4 linked regions of the Macaca mulatta genome follow. The main gene of each other region encodes a partner of the protein of the gene in region 4 in a complex. Links are inferred from orthologs where the notes say so. Each region holds a gene or a part of one and is shown on either strand. Other genes may lie near its edges.

Region 1 (3,562 bases), on a different chromosome or scaffold from region 4:
AGAATTTTGCCCGTCAGCCCCAACAGTAACTGCCCCTCGCCACTGACTCGGAAGAAACACTGTCCACTCACTCTGCCCTCATTCATTCAAGGTCTGGTGTCCTCCTGAGTCCGAGGCAGCCCAGGCGCCCTCCTGAGTTTGCCCCTAGCACAGAAGTACACGATACAGGGGTTAGCACACACCGATGGGGGCCACAGACCTGGGCTCCATCTACCATCTACTTATCTGCCACCCTGGACAATGACTTTGCTGAGCGAGTGAGCTCTGGTGTCAACGGGACCTATGTCACGTGAATTAAGTACGGGAGTGTGGGTCAACGGGCCTGGCACTGGTTCCATGTGCAAGAGCACTGCCTCTGCCTTCCTGTCTCTCCTTCCACGTAAATGCCCCTTCCCAGAGCCGCCCAGAGAGCAGCCCACTCCACCCAGAAACCAGCCTGAGACAAGGGGCTTCATCTCACCTTTCTTTCCCTTCACGAGGTCAGGATCAACCAACACGACACCATCTAAGGCAAAAGAGGGAGAGAGCAGTGAGGGTGAAGAAGATCAAAGAAACCAGACACCTACTTTAAAAACTATGTATGTTTTTAATTGCACATGTAATCCATGTTCATTATAAGAAAGAAAGAAAAGTTAAGGGCAAAAAGTCATCCAAATTCCTACTACCTAAAAATACCTATTGTGAAGCTCTCGGTGCAGACTTTTATTTTATTTTTCCAGGCCAGGTGTGGTGGCTCATGCCTGTAATCCCAGCACTTTGGGAGGCCGAGGCAGGGGGACTGCTCGAGCCTAGGAGTTTGAGGGCAGCCTGAGCAACACAGTGAGATCGTTGTCTCTACAAAAAGCTTTTTAAAAAATTAGCAGCAGCCTGGGTAACAAAATGAGAGCCTGTCTTTACATAAAATTTAAAAAGTTAGCTGGGTGTGGTGGTGCATGCCTGTAGTCCCAACTACTCAGGAGGCTGAGGCAGGAGGATCCCTCGAGTCTGGGATGTCAAGTCTGCAGTGAGCCATGATCATGCCACTGGACTCCAGCCTGGGTAATAGAACCAGATCTTTTCTCAAAACATATAAAAAAGAAAAAAGAAAAAAAGTTAGCAGGGCATGGGCCAGGCATGGTGGTGCCTGCTTGTGGTCCCAGCTACGTGAGAGGCGGAGGTAGGGGGATTTCTTGAACCTGGGAGGTTGAGGCTGCAGTGAGCTGTGACCATGCTACTGCACTCCAGCCTGGGTGACAGTGAGACACTGCCCCGCACCCCCGCCCAAAAAAATTTTTCCAGACATATATAACTTAATTATATGAATGCTTTTACTAAGAAAAAAAAGATCCTATTGTACTTACTGTTCAGCTAACTGTTTTCCTCACTCAATTATACATTGAAAACATCTATTCAAACATACATACATCTATACACACACGTATATATATACACACACATATAGACAAAACGTGTGCTAAGCATTTTAATAGCTACATATTACTCCATTGAATGGATGTACCATAATTATTTAATCACTTTCTATTGTTAGGGCATCTAGGTTTTTTCCAGTTTTTCCCATTGTGATTAATATTGTGATGAACATCCTTATACATACATCTTTATATCTCTCCATGACTTTTTAAAAATAAATTATAGAATTGGATTTGGCTTTTGATAACATGCTGTCAAATAACCTTCCAGAAAGTGTTTTGCCAAGGCACATTTTCATATCCAGTGTCTGAAACTGCCAGTTTTTCTACACTCTTTAAAAAACGTTTTGTGTTGAAATGATTATAGATTCACAGGAAGTTGCAAAGATAGTACAGAGACGTCCCTCGTATCCTTCATCCAGTTTCTCCCAATGGTTCCATCTGCCATAATTACAGTACAATATCAAAACTAGGAAGCTGACGTGGGACGTTCTGAGAAACATTTTGGTTCTTTCCGGTTTGGAGTTACCACAAATAAAACTGCTGCGAACAATCATGTATAGGTTTTTGTGAGGACACAGGTTTTCATTTCTCTGAGATAAGTGCCCGGGATGCAACTGTTGGATCATATGGTAAGTACATGTTTCGTGTTTTAAGAAACTGCTGCTGGGCGCAGTGGCTCGCACCTGTAATCTCAGCACTTTGGGAGGCTGAGGCAGGCAGATCACTTGAGCTCAGGAGTTTGAGACCAGCCTGGGTAACATGGCAAAACCCTATCTCGACAAAAAATTAGCGGGGCATGGTGGCACATGCCTGTAGTCTCAGCTACTTGGGAGGCTGAGGACAGAGGATCGCTTGAGCCCGGGAGGTGGAGGTTGCAGTGAGCCAAGATCTCGCCACTACATTGAAAGTAATGGCAAAAAACTGCAATTACTTTTGCAGTAACCTAAAATATTTTAGCCATTTTGGGAGGCATATAATACACTCTCACTGTAGCTTTAATCTGTATTTCCCCGATGGCTAATGATACCAAAGATGTTTTCACGTGCTTGCTTGTCTTCGTGTATCTTCTTTGATGAAATGTCTCTTACTGTCTTTCCCCCGTTTTCTCATAGGATCTTGCTTTTTGTACTGCTGAGTTCTGAGCGTTCTTCATACATTCCAGACATGAGTCCTTTGTCTCTTCACACTCTTTAAAATTCTTTCCAGCCGGACACAGGTGGTTCAAGCCTGTAATCCCAGCACTTTGGGAGGCCGAGGCGGGTGGATTAACTGAGGTCAGGAGTTTGAGACCAGCCTGACCAACATGGTGAAACCCCATCTCTATTAAAAATACAAAATTAGCTGGGCGTGGTGATGCATGCCTGTAATCCCAGCTACTTGGGAGGCTGAGGCAGGCGAATCACTTGAACCTGGGAGGCAGAGGTTGCAGTGAGCTGAGATCGTGCCACTGCACTCCAGCCTGGCCAACAAGAACGAAACTCCATCTCAAAAAAATAAAAATAAATGTAAATAAAATTGTTCCCACTCAGCCAGTGGAAACTCACTGATGTTTTAATTTGCATTTCTTTAATTAGATTATTAGCAAGGCTGATTTTTGAAAGTACAAAGTGAGCAGTTATCTGTGACTTAAAGGAAAACCAGCATTACAATTTTCTCCAAGCAACTTACCCACAGGCTGGACTTGGCTGACATGGTCTATGTAGTCTCTCTTCCCCAGGTAGATGGTCACCTGCAAGACAAGTGGGTGTGGGTCTAATGGCCAAAGAATGCTAAGCTAAGGCATCCATGATAAAAACCAGCTGCAGCCCGGGTGCGGTGGCTCACGCCTGTAATCTCAGCACTTTGGGAGGCCAAGGCGGGCGGATCACGAGGTCAGGAGTTTGAACCTGGCCAATACGGTGAAACCCTGTCTCTACTAAAAAAAAAAAAAAAATACAAAAATTAGCTGGGCATGGTGGCATGCGCCTGTAGTCCCAGCTACTCAGGAGGCTGAGGCAGGAGAATCGCTTGAACTCGGGAGGCAGAGGTTGCAGTGAGCCAACAGCATGTCACTGCACTCCAGCCTGGGCAACAGAGTGAGACTCAGTCTCAAAAAAGAAAAAAAAAAAAGAAAAATATGCAAATGAGATGTTTGCCATTCATTTGCATAT
Region 2 (3,562 bases), on a different chromosome or scaffold from region 4:
CTGGAACTCCCAGGCTCAAGCAATCTTCTTGCCTCACCCTCTCAAAGTGTTGAGATTATAGGCGTGAGCCACCACACCAGGTCAAAGCTCAGGTCTTTAGTGATCAGAGCATCACTGTTTCACAAACTCTGGGTCATATGAAGGATACAGTATAATTAAATAAGTAGCAATAGGCAAGGTGATTTCCAACTTCTCTGACACAAATGCATGGAATACCATATTGCATCTACAAATTTAAACATCATTAAATCATTCTCAAAGGAATTAAGAAGGTACATCTATTTTAGTGACTATTATTGCCTAAGATAAAAAGATAAAATATTTCTAATCATTAAATCCCTTAAAAGCAAAAAGCACTATAATGGAATCCAGGAGAAGTGGGTTTTGCCATGAACTCTAGCTACTTAATGTAAACCAACTAATCTTCTTTGATCCTTGTTTTTTAAATTAAGGTGGTTATACTATGTTGTCTCTTAAGAGTCAATTTAAAATCCTAGTATCTTAGAAAAAGCCAAGGTTCAGATCCATAACTGAACTACACTTAAATAAGAACATGATCACTAAGTCGTAGAGAGATAAAGAATAAAAGGATCTTGGAGTTCACCTCCTCCAAGTTCCCCTTATTTATTTATTTATTTATTTTATTATACTTTAAGTTCTAGGGTACATGTGCATAACGTGCAGGTTTGTTACATATGTATACTTGTGCCATGTTGGTGTGCTGCACCCATCAACTCGTCAGCACCCATCATAGGTGGGAACTGAACAATGAGATCACTTGGACTCGGGAAGGGGAACATCAAGTTCCCCTTTTACACATGAGTGGGAAACTGTAGCCAGAGAGATAGATTGGAGCAAACTGTGGAGAAAACTAGAAATGGGAATCAGTAAAATATCTGACTCCTCGCTTTATAAACTATCTGCCTGAAGACCATACTTAGCATTTCTTTGTTCTTTGAAGAAAAGTGACAAGAAAAAGGGGGATTTCCCCTTTCTTTACATTAAGAGCATGGAAAAGCCGCCTTTGTTTGTTTGTTTTAATTGTAATGATTTCTAGTGGTCATTTACAAGATCCAGTGGCCATTTACAAGGTCCACTAAGCTGGTTGAGGGAGTTCAAATGACTCCTCTTTCTTTATCCTTACTATGCTTTTGTTCTCTATTTTTATTGTTTCTATAGCAAGGTTTCCAAGAATTACATTGGTAGGCATTCAACTGGCATCCTCTGGAGGTAACCAGATGCCCAGCTGCTCCTGGAGGGGACATATGGAAATAGGTGAGTTCTTCTTGTGGATTCTACTCAGTTTCTCTTTTTTGGGTGGGGTCAACTATGGTTCTTTGGATAATACTATAAGTTTCATTTGCCAAATATTTTTATATATTTGCCTATAAACTTTTAAAGTAAGTGGATTTCAAATATATTTTAATATAAAATAACTATATAGCAAAATATAAAGTAGGGAGAAAATAATTTTGTTGTTACCTTACAAACAGAACTATGACTACTTGAATATACTTAATATACAACCATTTGCTTGCTCCTACAATTTGAATTCTTTTTTAAAAAACTTAGCATTATAATCATTTCCCTGTTGCCATGCAGACTTTGTAATCATCATCAAACATTAATTATAATTATTGTGTTATTATTAAACATTGTTAGTCTCTTTGAAATGACATAACTAAAAAATTAATGTAGAGATATTACAAATTGTGTTTATGCCATAAACTTTTGCATTTAGCAGTCGTAAACAATATTTTTGTTTCTTATGGTGTATTATTTGATATTAAGTTTAATCCTCAAGAAAACAACTAATGTTGAATAACAGTATACAGTAAAAAAGTTTCACTTCAAGGAAAATAAGAAATCTTACACAAAACATAATTCATGTTTCAAAATTCATGTTTCATATTTTTAAATTTTGGGTATAGATTGAACTTATTAAGTCCTCTTATTTTGTGGCTCAAACTCTATTGCAGGACATACAGCTGTCATTATTTGCATACTTACTGCACTTCTGGGATTTACATAATCAATTCCAAGGGTAGTCATGGCTTTCACAATAGCTAGGATGGATTGCAATGTATTACTGTAAATTACTGCTTTGAACTCCATGCATTCTTGCTCACTGTAACCATTCTTATGGATGATCCTATAATTTAAACATGAAAAGTTTCTGTGAGTTGAATAATTGATTGTAACACTAAAGCACATCAAAATAAGTTACTTGAATACAATTATAGTATATTTTCATTAAAAAGGAATTTTGACCATATGTATATGCTAAATCTAAACAATTTTATGCCTTTGGACTTTCATTATCATTGTCATTCATACAATATTTTCTTTCTGGGCTACCATGATAAATACAAAAGGACTTAGGATTTGTTATTTTAACATACTTTTCTGAAACGAGTAAATCATAAGCATTATACTTAGAAAGCCTGTTTTTTGTTTTTGTTTTTGTTTTTAAGAAAAAAAAATTATAGATTCTCAGGACAAAGATATATTCACAGTTTTGAAACTTGGCCTTGTGTCCACAACCTGATGTCTAGAGGAAGTTAAGTCATTTAGAACATTCATGACTTTTCCTATCATGCTGGAAAATAGGAGTGCCTTCTTTCTATTTACAGCATCAACAAAGGCATCTTTTTTAGTACAGGTAATTGCCCTGTGTTAAATCTCTTGTCAGTTCTCCATCTGTGTACGTGCCACTGAGTTATAAAAGTTGAAATGCCTGACATTTTATTTGGCTGAACTCTTCTCTACCTTCCACTCATTCAGCCAAACTCAAGATTTTACTAGAAGTTTTGGAATAATAGCTTAAAATAGATTTACCTATCAAAAGCTAAAGTCATTACATGTGCCAGTTACGTATTTTTGCATCTTTATTGTAGAATTGTTTTTGTTCCTTTCTATAATGTTTTAATTGTCTTGAAGTGCTTTGTATTCGTTAGGCGTCTTTTTGGATGTCATATTACTAAATATTTATATTGTGTCTACACGTATAAAGGCTTTAGCATAGAGGGGAAAAGAGCACAAATGCCTCTTTAATGTCTTTGAAGATATTAGAACCTTCATATACAAGAAATCTCAACTGAAAGAAGTAAAAGCAGGGCCTATATTTGTTATTTGTTGTTTTTTTTATTTGATTACAAATCATTGCTGAACTTCTATGTTAAACATGGTCATGTCTATCTTGCTGCATTGAATCATTAAATAACTTAAGTAAATAAAGTAGACAAAGACTGTAGAAAAAATGCAGTAAAATGTCTTTATGGGTAGATCAAGAATAAGTTTACTAAAGAAATCCCAGTTTTCTGTCAAATCGAACTTGGAAAATTATTTTAATTATTAAAATGGCAACTGTGAATAAACGTGGGGTACTTAGGTGTTCTTCATGAAACAAGTTCTGACTGCTATCAGAAGTGAAGAAACATTTATCACAAAGAAAAATTATAAAAACAGATGTTAAAATGTCCAGTTGAAGTGGGACTTTAAACAACATCATTTTTCTAGGAGCTGCATATATCAATTTCTGTGAGACAGAGCACTCCAACTG
Region 3 (4,015 bases), about 41 Mb from region 4:
TTGCAGTGAGCTGAGATCCGGCCGCTGCACTCCAGCCTGGGTGACAGAGCGAGACTCCGTCTTAAAAAAAAAAAAAAAAAAAATGCTGGGCACGATGGCTCACGCCTGTAATCCCAGCACTTTGGGAGGCCACGGCGGGTGGATCATGAAGTCAGGAGATCGAGACCATCCTGGCTAACACGGTGAAACCCTGTCTTTACTAAAAATACAAAAAATTAGCCCGATGTGGTGGTGGGCGCCTGTTGTCCCAGCTACTTGGGAGGCTGAGCCAGGAGAATGGCGTGAACCCGGGAGGCAGAGCTTGCCGTGAGCCAATATCGTGCCACTGCACTCCAGCCTGAGCAACAGAGCTAGACTCCGTCCAAAAAAAAAAAAAAGACACATACACCAAGGCACACAGAGAAGATATGCATGCCCACCAGAGTCCGCTGGAAGCCGAGGACCTCTTTGGGGTAGCTCCAGCCTGTGATATGGGATTATGGGATGAATGCAATGCCCACTGTTTCCCTCTCTCTGGATTCCCTGCAGGTCATAAAATCCCAGTCCAGTGTCACCCAGCCCTTCTTAACCACTTCCTCCTGTGTGACGCTTTGAGCCTCTACTTCCTCATCAGTAAAATGAGGCTGATGACATGGGCATCTATCCTCCAGGGCCAGTGTGAGCTTACAACAAGATAAGGAGTGGTGCTGAGCCCGGTGCTGGGCAGGCAGCAGGCATGTTTCTCCCAATTATGCCCTCTCACTGCCAGCTCCACCTCCATCGTCCTCACCCCCAGGGCTCAAGGTTCTGCCTTCCCCTTTCTCAGCCCTGATCCTACCCACTCCCAGGCAGCACCAGGGCCTCTCCTGAAGGGTGGAGGGGGGCAGAAGGACAGCAGGAGTGCAGAGTCAGCGGTTGAGGGATTGGGGCTATGCCAGCCTGATTAGAAGGGTTGGGGGGGCTGAGCTGGATTCACCTGTCCTTGTCTCTGATTGGCTCTTGGACACCCCTAGCCCCCAAATCCCACTAAGTAGCCCCACTAGGGACTGCACAGGTCCGTAGAGAGCCAGTTGATTGCAGGTCCTCCTGGGGCCAGAAGGGTGCCTGGGAGGCCAGGTTCTGAGGATCCCCTCCATCCAGAAGAACCACCTGCTCACTCTGTCCCTTCACCTGCTGCTGGGACCATGGGGGCTGGGGCCAGTGCTGAGGAGAAGCACTCCAGGGAGCTGGAAAAGAAGCTGAAAGAGGATGCTGAGAAGGATGCTCGAACCGTGAAGTTGCTGCTTCTGGGTAGGGGTGTGGGCCCTGGTGGGGCCACTGCCACCAGATCATTGGTCTGGAGGCAGGCAGGCAGCCCTTCTGTGAAGCAAGGGTTCCCTGGGAAGCAATATGAGCCTGCAACAGAGTAGGGCACAGGGTGGGAGCCCTGGCCATGCAAGGCCAGGCCTGACAGGTGGTGTCCTATTCCCCCAAGGCTGGACATCCCATGAAGCCCCTCTCCAGACGGCTCTGCCTCAGGTGACCCACCCTCCAGAAGTGCGTGCCAACCACACTCTTGCACGAGTGTGTGAGGCTGACTTTTCTGTGGCTGGGCTCCCACAAGCGTCATGCAGCCTTTGGTTTGGTAGGCCTGCTGGGCAGTGCTCAGAAGCCAGGGGCCTCACTGGGAGCCCGTTATTGGGCTGCTACTTTGGGAAGGGGATGGTCATAGTCCTCCTGGGGGTGGGGAGTCTCTAGAACCACCCAGATCCACAAAGAATGGCCCTCAGGTGCCAGAGGGCTGTGGCTGGTAGACCTACAAAGCAGCCAACGGGTCTGGCAGGTGCTGAGGCCCAGTGGGAGTAGATAAAGCCGTGTCCACCAGACCGTGGGCAGTGAGAAGAGACGGGGCTGATCCAGGCCTGCCTCAAGGTCACTGTCTGACCTCTCAAGGGGAAAGAGCAGCTTCAAGAGGGCCGGGCAGGCTCCACCCAAGCTCCCCAGAGTCTGGTCAACCAGCTGGAGGTGGGTGAGGGACCAAGCCAGTCCCACTTTCCCCCAAGGCAGAGAGGCTAAGCCGGAAATCTCATTAACTGTGCCCAACGCCCTCGCAGGGGCAAGCTCAGAAAGGATGTCAACTCTGCCCTCCCTGCTACCCAAAGGCGCTAATTCCCTCTGAGCCTCTTGGAGACACCCGCATCCCTTCAGGTGAAAAGCAAGGGATTTACCCGCCTCAAATAACCCAGTGCATGCGGTGCCAGAGGCTCCCACGAGGTGGCGATGGCGCTTCGGGATTTCTTCATTGCAGTCTCACAGCATAATAAAGGCTGCCTGTGTCGGTGTCTTGGGGCCTCCCAGTCCCAGAACAGTTGAGGTCGTTGATTCCCCTCGTTGGCTTCCTTTCTTCACTTTCCTGACATTTGCAAACCTTGTGCCTTCAGGGTGTCAGGACTTACTTTGGACGGGGTGGGTAGGTGTGGCTACGGGGTGGGTAGGTGTGGCTACGGGGTGGGGGCTGACGCTCAGGCCTCTTCGCTGCCGGTCCACCCTGACAACTCGGGAGGGCCCGGTCCTCCCGGCCTCCTTGGGGGAGGGGGCAGGCGGTCAGCGCAGCTCTGAGGCGCCGCTTCCCTTTCAGGTGCGGGTGAGTCCGGGAAGAGCACCATCGTCAAGCAGATGAAGTGAGTGCCCCTGCCTGTCCCGAGGTCCCTGGGGCTGGGTCCTTCCCCACTTCCCCACGAGGCTCTGACCCTGCTCGCCTCGGCCTCAGGATTATCCACCAGGACGGGTATTCGCTGGAAGAGTGCCTCGAGTTCATCGCCATCATCTACGGCAACACGTTGCAGTCCATCCTGGCCATCGTGCGCGCCATGACCACACTCAACATCCAGTACGGAGACTCTGCACGCCAGGTGTGCCAGGAGGCGGGCTGAGCGGGCCTCTGGGGACTCGAGGCTCGTGGCTGGGCCCGAGTCCCTGGCCGCCACCAGCCACTCTCACCCTGCCCCCAGGACGACGCCCGGAAGCTGATGCACATGGCAGACACCATAGAGGAGGGCACGATGCCCAAGGAGATGTCGGACATCATCCAGCGGCTGTGGAAGGACTCCGGTATCCAGGCCTGTTTTGAGCGCGCCTCGGAGTACCAGCTCAACGACTCGGCGGGCTAGTGAGCGCGTGGGCAGCGCGGGGCGCGGGGCGCAGGGGGCCCTCCACGCCTCCCCACCCACCCACGGCCCGGTCTCGCGCAGCTACCTCTCCGACCTGGAGCGCCTGGTAACCCCGGGCTACGTGCCCACCGAGCAGGATGTGCTGCGCTCGCGAGTCAAGACCACTGGCATCATCGAGACGCAGTTCTCCTTCAAGGACCTCAACTTCCGGTACGACCCACATGCCAGCCCGGGAGGTCACTGCCCCAGGCCCCGTCCTGCCCCGGGGACCCCATCCCTGCGATAGACCCTGCCCCTTCCTGGATATCCCGCCAGCAGAAAGGGTAGTAGTCCCAGCAGAGAGCTCACCGACCAGCACAGGGCGAGGGGATGCTCCCTGTTAGGCCCAGGGCGCGGGTTCAGGCCCCCGCGGCCCCGCAGGATGTTCGATGTGGGCGGGCAGCGCTCGGAGCGCAAGAAGTGGATCCACTGCTTCGAGGGCGTGACCTGCATCATCTTCATCGCGGCGCTGAGCGCCTACGACATGGTGCTGGTGGAGGACGACGAAGTGGTGGGTGCCAGGCAGGGCCTGTGTTCCAGGGGCGAGGAGGAGTTGCTGGCCCCTGGAGGCGGAGACGGCTCGCTGGGCGTGGGGAGGGCCCGGGAGGGGATGCTGGTCCCGGGCAGCCTGAGGAGGCCGGTAGGCGTTCAGCAGGCCCATCTGGGGCAGTGCGGGGCGCCCTCTGAGAGCCAGCTTAACAGGAAGCCCCACGTGCCCGGGAGCCCAGAGAGCAGGGGCTGCGGGTCGGACGCGACCCCCGGTGCCCAACAGCTGCTGCCCTCCTCAGAACCGCATGCACGAGAGCCTGCACCTGTTCAACAGTATCTGCAACCACCGCTACTTCGCC
Region 4 (4,043 bases):
AGAGTCACCGGTCCTATTGTCCAAACCACTGTCCCCACTGTGTCTCATCTCAGCCCCATTTGGAGACAATCGCCTAGAGGCTGAATGGGACCCAGTTCCCAAGGGCCACAATATGGCCACCAGCACTAGGAAGGTGTGGCCTCCCCTGCTGCTGAGGCCCAAGGTTAGAGGGGGCTGCCCCCAGGGTACTAGACCAAAGAGGATTGGAATTTGCGCCTGGCTTAGTTGAGGATTAGGGGCACAGCCAAGGTGAAGGGTTGGGATGTCTTGGATTCTCTTTTACATAGAGCTCAGGAGATGGGACCAGCGCTTTTAGCAACATTAGAGTCTATTTCTTCTGCCCTACACCCCTACCCTGGGTGGGCATTTGGGCCAGGAGACATACAAGGCCAGTGCCTGGAACCAGACACTACTGGGTTTGAGTCCTGACTGGAGGACCCTACAAAGAGCCTCTTCCCTTCTGCTCAACGCCATTACCTGGACCAGCCGAAGAGGGGGGGTGCGGCGCAGGCCAGCGCCATGACCCAGGTGAAGGCAACGCCCATGATGGCATGGTTCTCCCCGAAGCGGAAGTTGCTCATGGGCTTACACACCACCACGTACCGTTCGATGGCCAGGACCACCAAGGACCACAGGGCGATTTCACCTGCAAGGCAGTCAGCAGGCTGTCAGCAGACCCCACTGCCTGTCTAAGGAGGGTGCACTCCCCCTAGATAGGAAGAGGGTAGCTAGGAAGGCAACCAGGAGTGGGAGAGGGACTTGAGGAGGCCTTGGGGAAGAAGAGAGCTTGGCACTGGGAGGAGTGGGAAGGGGCAGAGGGACCACATGCTGAGGAGGGCTGGGCAAAGAAGCTCCAGGGAATGGGGGAAGTTATTTGCTTAGTGCTCTGGGTCCATGAGGGACACGAATCAGATCAGGGGGTCACGATTGGACTGAGAACCCGGTAGGGAGTTGTGGGGTTTTTTGTTTTTAACAGAAGAATGCATCCTAATGTGGGGCAGAGTTCTTTGTTGGGCAGGAATGCAGAGGTGGCGGAAACCCAGAATTGGCAGTCCTTCATCCCTCTCTCTTCTCGGGAGATGAAACAACATGGGCAAGTGTGGCCCTCTCCTAGGAGCCATGAAGCAATGGGCAATGCTTTGCCCAGAGGAAGAAGAAGGAAATGATGAAATTGAGACATCTGCCCTGCTCACCACCCCATGAAGTTCCACAGGGAGAGTGGCCATATAGTTAATCAGCCAAACTGGGACATTCCTAACAGTGAAAGGGACAATAATTGTAAACTGGGACTGACCCTGCAGAGAACAACCATCCGTATGTGGCACACCACCTTCTGGCCAGAACTGGGTGATCTGTGATTATTTGATGTAACAAATACCCAACAATGCCAGAGATTCCCTGAGAATGGGACCGAGGAGGCAACCTGGACATGGGGGAGAGAGGGCAAGGCTGGCAGGGTGATGCTTGTGACTGGTGGTAAGCTCTCCTCGTCACCCAGCTTTGCAGTGGCTGCCGCTAACATCTCCTCCATCTCAGCGGAGATATTCCTGGATCACAGCCAGGAGACCTAGGCTGTTGTTGCTGCCTGGCCACATCCCTAAATAAGTCTATTCCCTTCTCCCTGCCTCAGTTTTCCCCTCTGTTAAGTGGGATCTGTTATCCCTGCAGCACCCCCATCTGTTTTCCTGTTAAATGCAAGACATTATTCTAAAGCAAAAAGCAGCTGCTTCAGAGGGGCTGCATGCAGTTCTCAACACCAGGAGCCTTGGAGCGCGGCATGGAGGCTAGAGGGGCACCCGGGGACGGGGGGCTGGGAGGGGAGGCAGAGGATGCCAAAGGGGACCGAGCCCATTACCCAGCACAGGGAAGACTCAATGACTGGAGAATGGAGAATCCACTTCCTACCCTGGGCTTGGGCCCCCAGAGAGGAGGGGTCTGGCTTGCCCAGCTCTCTCCTCAGTGCCCAGCCTGGGTCTGACCTGTTTTCCGAGGGAAACAGAGGCTTGGTGTTGCCAACACGGCCCAAGATGGATGCAGGCTTCAAACTCAACTCTGCCCCCATCCCATTGTGACCCCCAGCAGGGCACTTGACTTCTTTGAGCCTCAGCTCAGTTTTCTGGCTGTGAAATTAGATAAGTGCATGTTGCTCCAGGTAAGATCAAGGTAGCGTTCAGAGCCAGCCCTGCACAAACAGCAGCCCAGCTATCACCATGAATGGTGTTTGTTGATGAATATATGAGGGCCTTGGGTAACGCTGACAGGAGAGGAGAAGGGAGAAGGCCTCTCAGCCACTACCGCCAAGCCCGGGACTGTCCCAGATCCCTCCATGCTCCCGGGCTCCTGCAAGCCCCACCCGCACCCGGCTCATACCTCCCAGGGTGGCAAAGAAGCCCTCCGCATTGCATCCTGTGGGCCCGAAGACGAAGTATCCATGCAGAGAGGTGTAGAGGGTGGTGGTGAAGCCACCGAAGACCATGAAGAGGTCGGCCACGGCTAGGTTGAGCAGGATGTAGTTGAGAGGTGTGCGCAGCTTCTTGTGCTGGACAGTGACGTAGAGCGTGAGGAAGTTGATGGGGAAGCCCAGCACGATCAGCAGGAACATGTAGGCGGCCAGCATGGAGAACTGCCATGGCTCGGCCAGGTAGTACTGCGGGTACTCGAAGGGGCTGCGCACCACGCCCGTCGCGTTGGAGAAGGGCACGTAGAAGTTAGGGCCTTCCGTGCCATTCATGGCTGTGGCCCTTGTGGCTGCCCCGCGTCTGCTCCCACCCAAGAATGCTGCGAAGGCCTGAGCTCAGCCACTCAGGGCTCTGGCTGGATGACTCTGGGCTCTCACCCCCCCAGACCCTTATAAAGTGACCTCCCCCTCCTAAGCTCCTGGCTGAATCAGCATCTGGGAGATTGGGGGTGTTCATAATCATATTAATCCCGCTGCAGAAACTGAGGGCCTAATTGGCTTCCAAGAGGGGCCAAGGTGACACCAGGAGGAAGCCTGAGGTCAGGGAGGAGAGGTACTCAGGACCCTGGGAAAGGGAGAAGGCCCCTAACTTCTACATGGCTTGTCTGTCCCAAGGTCCCAGCTCAGTCTGGTGGCCTTGGTCTGAAATAGGGACCGTGGGTGTCTGTGCCATTTCCCTTGGCTTAGTACGAGCTGACTTCAGATCTTCGTCTGGACTGGACAGTGAGCTTCTGGACAGCTAGAGACTTTCTAGTTTATTCTCCCAGTCTCTCATCTCGTCACACAGCCCCTTACCTGTTCGTTCCCCCAGCCCCTTACAAAGCTGTTCATTCCCCCGCAAGTTACTTCTGGGCTCGTCCAGTCCCCACACTCCTCTGACAGGAGGAGCTCCATGAGGGCAGGGGCTGCATCCTGCAGCTTCTATTTCCAGTGCCGGACACATGGCCTGGGGACCAGGAGCCCAATCATTGTTGCATGGAATTGGAATTCACTCTCTTGTTCGTTCATTAAACATTTATTTGTGGGCCCCTGGGAATACAAAGATGGAAAGAAACAGCCCTGCCCAGAGGAGCTCAGGGGCTGAGGAGGACTCAGATATGAGAAGAAGCAGATTCCGCCCAAGGTGTCTGTGAGGTGGAGACGGGGCCTGACTGCCTGGGGGATGCAGTCCAGGAGGCCACGTTTGGGCCTTTGAGAGAAGGAGCAGTTTGCCAGGTGGCTGGGTGGGGAAGACTGAGCTGGGGGCAGTTGTGATGGGTCTTGAACGCCAGGGAGCCTGGCTTTATCCAGAGGGAAGTGGGCAGTGGCTTGGGCAGATCACTGGGGTAGAAAGGTGACTCGGATGCCCCAAAGATGGAGTGGAGGGAGGGAGGATGGAGGGGGCTTCCAGAGCAGGGGAGGGACAGAGCCCCTCAGGGGACTCCAGTCTGAAAGGGAGGCCAGCCCTGGAGGCAGCAGACAGGGCACTGTTGGGGGAGGTCTGGTCAGCTACGAGGGCCTCAAATGCCATGTGCCAGGTGGCCCCATGACGGCCGATTCCAGAACAGCAGGATGTACTGTGAGAAAGAAAGTAGTCAAGAGCCTT

The links.
Region 1: the proteins of RHO (region 4) and SAG are in contact, whole or in part, in a crystal structure (PDB 4PXF), measured with the Bos taurus proteins. The link is inferred for Macaca mulatta from reciprocal best matches to the Homo sapiens genes RHO and SAG. Residues at the interface, in NP_001014890.1 of Bos taurus: Arg135, Val138, Val139, Lys141, Leu226, Glu249, Val250, Met253, Met309, Asn310, Lys311, Gln312; in XP_010802144.1 of Bos taurus: Asp71, Ile72, Met75, Gly76, Leu77.
Region 2: the proteins of RHO (region 4) and GNAT3 are in contact, whole or in part, in a crystal structure (PDB 4A4M), measured with the Bos taurus proteins. The link is inferred for Macaca mulatta from reciprocal best matches to the Homo sapiens genes RHO and GNAT3. Residues at the interface, in NP_001014890.1 of Bos taurus: Leu72, Arg135, Val138, Val139, Lys141, Thr229, Val230, Ala233, Thr242, Thr243, Lys245, Ala246, Glu249, Val250, Asn310, Lys311, Gln312; in NP_001103452.1 of Bos taurus: Ile344, Asn347, Leu348, Lys349, Asp350, Cys351, Gly352, Leu353, Phe354.
Region 3: the proteins of RHO (region 4) and GNAT1 are in contact, whole or in part, in a cryo-EM structure (PDB 6OYA), measured with the Bos taurus proteins. The link is inferred for Macaca mulatta from reciprocal best matches to the Homo sapiens genes RHO and GNAT1. Residues at the interface, in NP_001014890.1 of Bos taurus: Leu72, Arg135, Val138, Val139, Lys141, Ser144, Asn145, Phe146, Arg147, Val230, Ala233, Gln236, Gln237, Ser240, Thr242, Thr243, Lys245, Ala246, Glu249, Val250, Met253, Met257, Asn310, Lys311, Gln312; in NP_851365.1 of Bos taurus: Ala27, Arg28, Asp189, Leu190, Val312, Glu314, Tyr316, Asp333, Ala334, Asp337, Ile340, Lys341, Asn343, Leu344, Lys345, Asp346, Cys347, Gly348, Leu349, Phe350.

The regions. Positions count from the first base shown.
Region 1 is NC_133417.1:138,593,657-138,597,218, reverse strand, and holds part of SAG (S-arrestin), read right to left. Parts: intron 3,142-3,562; coding exon 3,081-3,141; intron 506-3,080; coding exon 461-505; intron 1-460. UniProt on the Homo sapiens protein: Binds to photoactivated, phosphorylated RHO and terminates RHO signaling via G-proteins by competing with G-proteins for the same binding site on RHO. May play a role in preventing light-dependent degeneration of retinal photoreceptor cells.
Region 2 is NC_133408.1:138,990,550-138,994,111, reverse strand, and holds part of GNAT3 (guanine nucleotide-binding protein G(t) subunit alpha-3), read right to left. Parts: intron 2,153-3,562; coding exon 2,011-2,152; intron 1,280-2,010; exon of another isoform or gene 1,180-1,279; intron 1-1,179. UniProt on the Homo sapiens protein: Guanine nucleotide-binding protein (G protein) alpha subunit playing a prominent role in bitter and sweet taste transduction as well as in umami (monosodium glutamate, monopotassium glutamate, and inosine monophosphate) taste transduction.
Region 3 is NC_133407.1:113,664,132-113,668,146, forward strand, and holds the start of GNAT1 (guanine nucleotide-binding protein G(t) subunit alpha-1), read left to right. Parts: upstream 1-1,163; coding exon 1,164-1,269; intron 1,270-2,252; exon of another isoform or gene 2,253-2,424; intron 2,425-2,596; coding exon 2,597-2,639; intron 2,640-2,728; coding exon 2,729-2,870; intron 2,871-2,969; coding exon 2,970-3,127; intron 3,128-3,209; coding exon 3,210-3,338; intron 3,339-3,548; coding exon 3,549-3,678; intron 3,679-3,955; coding exon 3,956-4,015. UniProt on the Homo sapiens protein: Functions as a signal transducer for the rod photoreceptor RHO. Required for normal RHO-mediated light perception by the retina.
Region 4 is NC_133407.1:154,400,556-154,404,598, forward strand, and holds the start of RHO (rhodopsin), read right to left. Parts: upstream 2,827-4,043; 5' UTR 2,732-2,826; coding exon 2,371-2,731; intron 647-2,370; coding exon 478-646; intron 1-477. UniProt on the Homo sapiens protein: Photoreceptor required for image-forming vision at low light intensity. Required for photoreceptor cell viability after birth.